Linked DNA regions of Oryzias latipes. The protein of the gene in region 1 interacts with the protein of each later gene in a pairwise test. Links are inferred from orthologs where the notes say so. Each region holds a gene or a part of one and is shown in the gene's direction. Other genes may lie near its edges.

What was found.
Region 2: the proteins of c11h1orf216 (region 1) and myrip interact in binary tests that used the Homo sapiens proteins (3 or more experiments, as listed by UniProt). The two-hybrid records come from large-scale screens. The link is inferred for Oryzias latipes from reciprocal best matches to the Homo sapiens genes C1orf216 and MYRIP.

Annotation. Positions count from the first base shown.
Region 1 is NC_019869.2:20,028,148-20,032,097, reverse strand, and holds the start of c11h1orf216 (UPF0500 protein C1orf216 homolog), read left to right. Parts: upstream 1-1,150; 5' UTR 1,151-1,249; coding exon 1,250-1,254; intron 1,255-2,819; coding exon 2,820-3,792; 3' UTR 3,793-3,950.
Region 2 is NC_019878.2:15,054,341-15,058,478, reverse strand, and holds the start of myrip (rab effector MyRIP), read left to right. Parts: upstream 1-1,338; 5' UTR 1,339-1,945; intron 1,946-4,138. UniProt on the Homo sapiens protein: Rab effector protein involved in melanosome transport. Serves as link between melanosome-bound RAB27A and the motor proteins MYO5A and MYO7A. May link RAB27A-containing vesicles to actin filaments. Functions as a protein kinase A-anchoring protein (AKAP).

The DNA of each region.
Region 1 (3,950 bases):
TTTCACTGCTAATGTTAGCTTGAAGTTTTAGGGCTGTAAGATAGCAGGAGACAGTGTAGACCTCAAACTAGGGGTTCCCAAACTATGGGTGGGCGGGCCCCTGAATAAAAATGGCCCAATATTTGCCCCAGTCAGAAAACTTGAATGTGACCCCCCCACCACCACCACATCAAAACGGAAAAATGAATGGTTTGGTAAGGGAAACATTGATCCAGAATGCAAGGTATTTAACCTAGGAAGTTAATCAGAGAAAACAAACAGTGGAGTCTACTAAGCCAGCCTCCTGGAACCTCAAAAACTGGATTATAAGGAAAGAACACAAAAACCTAAAGAGACTGCTCATACGAGTTATTGAAGAGATTCTTCACATTCTGCACATTTACCGAAGAACAACCCACAGAGATTTATTTGTTTATTATCGATTTTATATCTAAAATACTTTTACAATATATTTCCTGACTTTTTATGTGAAGAACCCAGAGAGGGTTATTTGCTTTTAATGATTTCATAAAGAATCTTTTATATATCTGCTGATTATTACTTTTTTTTTTTTTGTTGTGAAGAACCCAGAGAGGGTTTTTTTATATCAGATTGGGTTTTTAATATTTGGTTATGTGAAGCTTTCAGTTTACATTTAGGCACCCCTGCCACTGTCACACTTTTTCTGTTTTAAACTGACCCTGGCCCCCGATCAGAGAATGGAAACGTCATGTGGCCCTCCCTGGAAAAAGTTTGGGGACCCCTGGTGTAGACAAAGGGATGATAGGATATCAGTGGAGGCTTACTTCCGGGTCAACATTTCCACCCACAACTCAGACATGAATTACTAATAAACACCTGCTGCTGTGCAGATAATATGTCCTAGAAAACGACATTTTTTTTTTTTTTTATGTTTTTTTTGCCTAAAAACCACATATCAGTAACAAACAGTGACAGCTCTTCCTGACATTGTTTTCTCTTTTTGCGCTCAACCCAATTTCGGAAATTGCTCTGAGTCGCTGCTTGGCTTTTCCCAGAATCAGAAAGGGAGGAGGAGGAGGAGAAAGGAAGAGGAAGAACATCACAGAGGAGTGTCAGAGGAGGGACACTGGGAGGGCGCAGCGTCCAGCAGCGTCTGTGGAGGAGAGAAAAGCAGTCAGAAAAGGTAAGAATCGAGACTCTTTCGGCATACATGACTGCGTGTAGGTGCAGGAGCGGCGGGAGGCGCGCGGGCTGTAGATGAGAGGGGATTTTAGAGGCGCGCGCGGACATGGGGTGAGCGTTACGCAACGCGCCGGATGCTGCACTCATCTCACTGCATTCAGCGAAAATATGCTTCTATTGTCATTTTTGGACGCCTTTATTGATCTTCGCTGACAATGTGACGGCATCCATGGAGCCTCCGCGCGCTCCCTGCGCGCCCCCGCGTCTCCTGTCTCATTTACAGCTGGAACGGAACCGATACCGTTTCTCTCCGAAGAGTGATTTTATTGTCCGCGTGACCTGCAAGCATCCGCGCGTGCACTGTACCGCGCGCGCACTGGATAATGGGAGCTTTAATGCTGGAACGAGTGACCTGGATTAGGAGCTGCCATACGGCTGCATTTGCATCGTTCATGTTTGCGAACATTTATGGAGATTTTGTAAATGCGAAGAAAAATTGGTGCGTGCTTAAGACAATGTTCCTCACCAAAAATATGAAAAACATCAATAATTTAACGATCTGCATGATTTAAATTACCTCTGACCTTTGTGATCAGGAATATTCAGATGAAAATCTTTGGGAACTCATTGGATGGGATTACAGCTGCAGACTTTGGTCATGCAGGTCAGATCATTGACTGTATATGAAAACTGGACTGAGGGACGTCACCCATAGAAAATGGCTTATTTCTGGCTCCAACAAAATGAAGTCAGTTCATTCGGGATACAGTCGTCGACCAGTTTTATTCAGTGTTTCTATGGCAACCACTCTTGCCAATCGGGAGTGAGCTTGTTGGAAGGCCTCACCTTCCAACAAGCAAAGGTGCTGGTCCCCACCTACTTTTATAGCATCCGATTGGTCATTTTCTAACCTGAATAACTTGCGATGAAGAAAAAAAGTTATTAAAAAAAATTGTAAAGCTATCAAGATCATCTTGAGCGTTTCAGAGTAAACTATATCCATATATATGATAATGTATTACGCTCATTAAGGACTGAAATATGAGTTATTTTCACAGTTCATTTTCCTACTCGAAAGTAAGACGACTCGATCCCCGAGGCACCGCCTTTCGCTCCTTGATGGGCGGCACCCACCCATCCACCTACCTAGAGGCGGCCTTGGCAGCGTGTCTGGGTCTTGCCATGACAACAAACAACATCCGAACTTTTGTAAAGATAGATGTGCCTATTGTGCATAGAAAAGGCGACATGTTTGATTCACAGTGAGAATAAAGAAAAACTCTGAAACACATATTCAAGCTTAATTTTCTTCATATATGTCCTTCATTATGAGAAAGACAGCACAAGAACATGTTACAGAATTTTCATCAGAGTGGGTCTTTGAGGAGATCCCCTTCAATTCACAGCAGCATTTGTTTCTGTTGCTTGAGGCTACATGACTGCGATCACTGTTTGTCAGGTTCTCTGCTCAAAGTTGCCCATGAGCTCTCACACCACTGATGCAAGGTCCTGTTGTTCTCTGCACGCTGATGAAAGAGCTTTCCCGCTCCTGCGACATCTCCTACCGCCAGATAGTTTCACAAAAGATTCAGACGAGGAGCGCACTCAGATGTTCCTCTGAATTCCTTCTGTCTTTTCTGCTCTTCCCAGCATCTCCATCTTCTGTGTCTTTTCAGAGAGTCTCAGTCGAGGTCAGTGATGCTTCACCATCAGGACCTGAAATCCGCCTTTGAGGACGCAGACGATAGCTCCTCCCCCCTGATGCAGAACAGCAAGTTTGACAAGGACAGGAACTTCAACTTCCTGGCCGAAAAAGGGGATGACTGCCTCCCCGGAGACGAGAACCGGAACCAGATGCGCCCCCGCAACCTGGCGTTGGGGCGCGACCCTCCGAGTTCCTCCTCGCCTTCCTCGGGGTTCCAGCTGAACACGGGTCTCAAGTCGCCCCGTTCTCGCCTCCCCTGCTGGAGAACGCTGGAGCCCCTCCCCGAAATCGAGAGCGGCGATGACGGATATGGTCGCGTTCCCCCAGACGGGGCAGAGGAGGAGAGGATGGAGGAAGAGCAGGTGATGATGATGATGAATCTGAGTGGCAAGAGGAAGGAGCACCATGGGAAAAAAGGGGGCGGGAGGCAGGATGAGGACGAGGAGCTGGATGACGAATGGGGAGACAGCGATTCCGAGTCGGAGGTGAGGTGCCGGTCTGGCGGCAGTCAGTCATCTCTCAATATGGAGAGCGGCGGAGAGGCGCCTACTTTTGGAGGTTGGGACCGCATCGGGGTTGGGGAGCCCAAACTGGGTCAGACAGATGAGGCGAGCAACCTGGAGGGGGCGCTGTGCCTCCCAGGTGACCAGTCCTCTGACTCGGATGGCGAGCTGCCAGAACTGATGGACACGGTGTGGACACTGCGCGACCGCGAGCGCTTCAAGGTGCAGGAGATGGAGAAGCACCAGGCGCAGCTGACCATGTACCGCCGGCTGGCGCTGATCCGCTGGGTGCGCACGCTGCAGAGCCGCGTCCAGGAGCAGCAGAACCGCCTGCAGTCCAGCTTCGACGTCATCCTCACCCACAGGAAGGAGCTGCTGCGCATGGGAGCTGCCGCCGCTGTGGCAAGCCCCGCCCCCACAGCAGCTGTAGGCCAATCATAGCGAGAATTTGAGGACATAGAACTTTACGCCAACGACTGTCTCACAACTTCCTCTTTGTCCATTTGTCCAGCTGAGAGCTGGAGTGCAGACGTGTCAAACGCGCACTTGAGATGTATTTGTGTGTTTGTCCTGATGTGTGTAGAACCCCGATCCCAAAA
Region 2 (4,138 bases), on another chromosome or scaffold:
ACAATATTAACATACTTATTTAACATACATTTTAACATACATTTGTCTGCTATCTGAAGTGGGGGCCAGTTTAGCTCGTGCTGGTTTGCGGCACCTTCTGTCCGTGTAACCAGGGTTCGACTCCGGGATGCTCCCTATTCCCTTCTCTGCTGCTGTGCCGGTCCCAAACCCAGTTGGATTGAGAGGGTTGCATCAGAAAAGGGCATCCAGCATAAAAACATTGCCAAGTTAACCATGCAACTAATCCTCAAGGGAGAGTTGTTTCACTGTGGCAACCCCTGATGGGAGAAGCCAAAAGTGAAAAAAGAACTGCTATTTGAAGTGTTTTTGTTTTCCCCCAGCAATTCAAAATCATTCAGTATCTTCTTTTGTTGGTGAATTACCTTGTACCTGGAAATGCTAAGTCGAATTGAATAATGCGACAATGTTCGCAGGGTGGATGTTAAAATGAAAATACAATCCCCTCTTTGCATTTTGGTTTTAATTATGACACAGAATAAGCGGTTTTTAAGTAGAAAATGAAAAAGCATTTTGAAGTATTGATTTTGTTATTTTAATTTTGAGTCATTTGATGCAGTTACATTTTGAAAACGAAATGGCATTTCTGTTAATCTATTTTATTGATCAAATTAGACATTTCTAAATGAATTTTGCTACACATTTACCAGAGAACCTTTTGAAAATGAAATGTCAAATAACCATTTTCATTATCATTTTAATTAAGTGACTGAATAAGCAGTGTTGAAGAAGAAAATGAAAAAGCATTTTGGCGGATTGCTTTTTCATTCTCATTTTGTGTCAGAAAAAGCAGCTTCATTTTGTAAATGAAAAAGCATTTCTGGTATTGACTTTTATATGACACATGCACTGTTTGATTAAGCCAAGCTGAGGTTAAATGAAGTCACAATAGATCAGTGTGGCCAAAATAAGACACCTTTCTGGTGCTACAGTTTTCATCCTACTGCATGATAAAACAGAAACCATATGAACCGTAAAATCCAAATATTTACAGTGAGCATTTTAAGATTTAAACATGTGGAAGACCTCTGGAACAGCACTAACCATTGTGCACACATTATGATGTGGGCTGAAGGTGTAACTTCAGTGAGCAGAGGATGACTCATAGGGGTGGGGTCTCATACCTTGTGGAAAACACTGGATTTGATCTGCAACAAGTAAATGGGGCTTTTTTGATCAGCAGTTAAAACGCTGGCTAAGCTGTTTTGTCAAATGGGGTTGCAGCTTTTTGCACACAAAAATGAGCACAAATGTAATCAATTTTCTGAAACAGCTAAAATGATGCAACAAAAATGCAGCTTTTTTGTGCTGCAGGACCATTTCCTTTATTAATGCATCCAGATTTAAGTAAAGCAAAGGCACAATAGTGGGGTCATGAACTCATTTGGTCCACATATTATGCTGGGATGTTTTCCTGACTCTCTCAGAGGCTGATTAAAGCATCACAGGCTTTGTGAATGAAGCAAACACGGCGCCTCCTCCTCCTCCTTCTCCTCCTCCTCCTCCTCATGCGGGAACAGCAGTGGAGCGCAGGATGTCCAGGTGGCAGCTCTGACAACTAGGATTTGACACCAGAAACAGCAATTTTTCCGACCCTTTGCGATTGTGGTTCCGCGCTGCGGCTGTTTCACTAATATAGGAACACAGGAGGGATGCAGGTTGGGAGTGGAACCACTCACCTCGCACGCCGTGCGCCCATCTCCTCCTTCCTCTAATACAAACCTCGTGATCCATTCAGCGGCTCCTGCGTTCCCTGCTTGACGGAGAAACAATAAAGAAGCCGAGGGGGCAGAAGAGGGAAAAGTATTCGAGAGAGGCTGACAGGAAGTTTAGACGCTTGGATAGACGCATCTCTCTGCGTCCTCCTCTCTCAGAATCTGGATGAAGAGGCTGTGACTGGCGGTCATTCTGCTTCCATCGCTCCTGTGTAAGTGATTCTCCCTCCGTGGTCCTCTAAAAAGGCACAAGCAGGATTTTATTTACGCGGATTGCATATTAAAGAAAAAGAAAATACTGCGTGACTCCTGCGCCACGGTTGAACTGAAGGTTTGTGCACAGATGTTATCATCCAGCATCGTGATGCTGCAAACATGAGGTTTCTGAGCATGCAGGGAGGAAACAGCAGGTGCATCACATGTGCAGACTGAAACTATAACCAGATTATTTAAAATAAATTGAAATGCTTTAAAGAATCAGGCCAGGGGCTTTGGGAAAGAACCAAACTTTAACCCCAAGGAATGCAAGCTGAAAATCCCCTGAAGACTGGTGTATTTAAGATTGTTCTCCCTATTTTGTTTCTGTTGTTTACTGTCACCTGTTGGCACTAAAACTGGACCAGAGTCTATTCACCCACAGAATCAAGGAGTTATTTGATTTTTATTTCGAAATTTGAACCAGTAATGCAGCTCTTTCTTTAATATTCATGTTTTTCTCAGCACTTACTCACATGCACGATTATGCAGGCGGATCCAGCCATCATCTGTTTTTCTTTTAACACTTCAGGTGAAAGTGTATGTGTGCAAGGAGGGGTGCATCATCACAGATGGATGTCTCACCTTTTCAGCACCCTCTCTAGCTCTGCACAGAGTGCTGTTTAGCCAGGCAGTGATTGATGCAACACAGCAGGCAGAGGTCAAAGAGTGATGACTGATCACACGCTGTTTGAAATGCTCAGCCCAAGATAAAAGTTGAGCTGCCTCTCTTTTTCTTCATGTTTTTGCATCACATGTGCCATGATTTTGTTGAATCAAGGGAAGCAAAATGCACAGATATGTTTTCTTTGATGTTTTATTAGTTAATATATTTTTTTTAGCTAGAAAAGCATTAATATTAAAATATCATTGATGATATCTGAACGTCAGTAAAAAGGTCAGAAATAGTTTTTATTTGCCCATCCATCTTTCGTCAGGATATGATGGAAAGTACCGTAGGTGTATAACAAAAGGTTATTAAATCTCCCTAAATTGTTAGATGTAGTCCAATTAAGACAATACTTTAATGATAAACGTATAGTAAAATAACTGTCTGAGCAATTTTGATTTAAATATAATCAGGCAACATGATATATTCAACATTTCGTCCCCAAACATCAATTCATTCTAAAAATGCCAAAGTAGTGTAAAATTACGTGCAATGTTCCTGCTTCCGCAAAGGTTGACAGGTTGTGCAGAGACTAATGCTAATCTGTAGCAGGTGTTTTCATACCTTTAAAAAGTCAGTTTTTCATATCTAGTTGGCAACTTCTTTTTTTTCTGCTTTTGTTTTCTCTCTTTTAGCAAACCTGTGTTGTCATGCTGATAGATGACAGTCATATCCTTGGCAGCAAAACCCCTTTGAACACTTGTTTCTTTTGCTGTTGTCCAGTAGAAAGACAAACAGGGAAATAGTTAAAGAACACCATCAGACATAAAATGAATTTAGCTACCCATTTCTTTATTTTTTCAGCCTCATCAAACCACTGGTCCTTTCATCTCCAAGACATCTGGAATGTTTTTTTTCTCACATCTTTAATATTAGGTGTAAATTTGCGAACACAATTTTTTTAACTTGTTCACTGTGGCTAAAAAAAAGAGCAGATCCACTGTAGAGCATCTAAAACAAGCAGTTCATTTAACGCTCTGCTGCTTCTGCCCGCTCAGTGCTCCGGCAGGGCCCTGTCCTCATCTTACCCGTCTCCTGTTCACTTTCTGAGGTGGTCCACAGAACTAAATGCTCGGCTTTGGGATGTTTAAAGAGCCAGATCTTTATGTTGGTTAAAGATATGACCAAAAGATGTTCAGTGTCCTTAAGGAGAAAATCTTCAGTTCTTTTTCTTTTCTAGTGATAAATATGAGTTTGACCTTTTTTTTTCATTAATAGTCTTTCCCTCCTGTTAAGATGAGAGTGTCAGTTTGAACGTGTTACCTCTGTAATCTGTCACTTTTACACTGATGCAGGTTATTTTAGTGCCAATCTTCACATGACACTACTGACCTACCTTGTGTTTAATTTTCTTTGACAACAACATTCTTGGAAGCTCCTGTTCCTCTGCAGGACACGAGAGCATTTAATATTTTAGATGGGGCTGCATAGTTACCCTATGATTCTTCAGATTTATTTCTTATAGTAGGGTGACTCATGC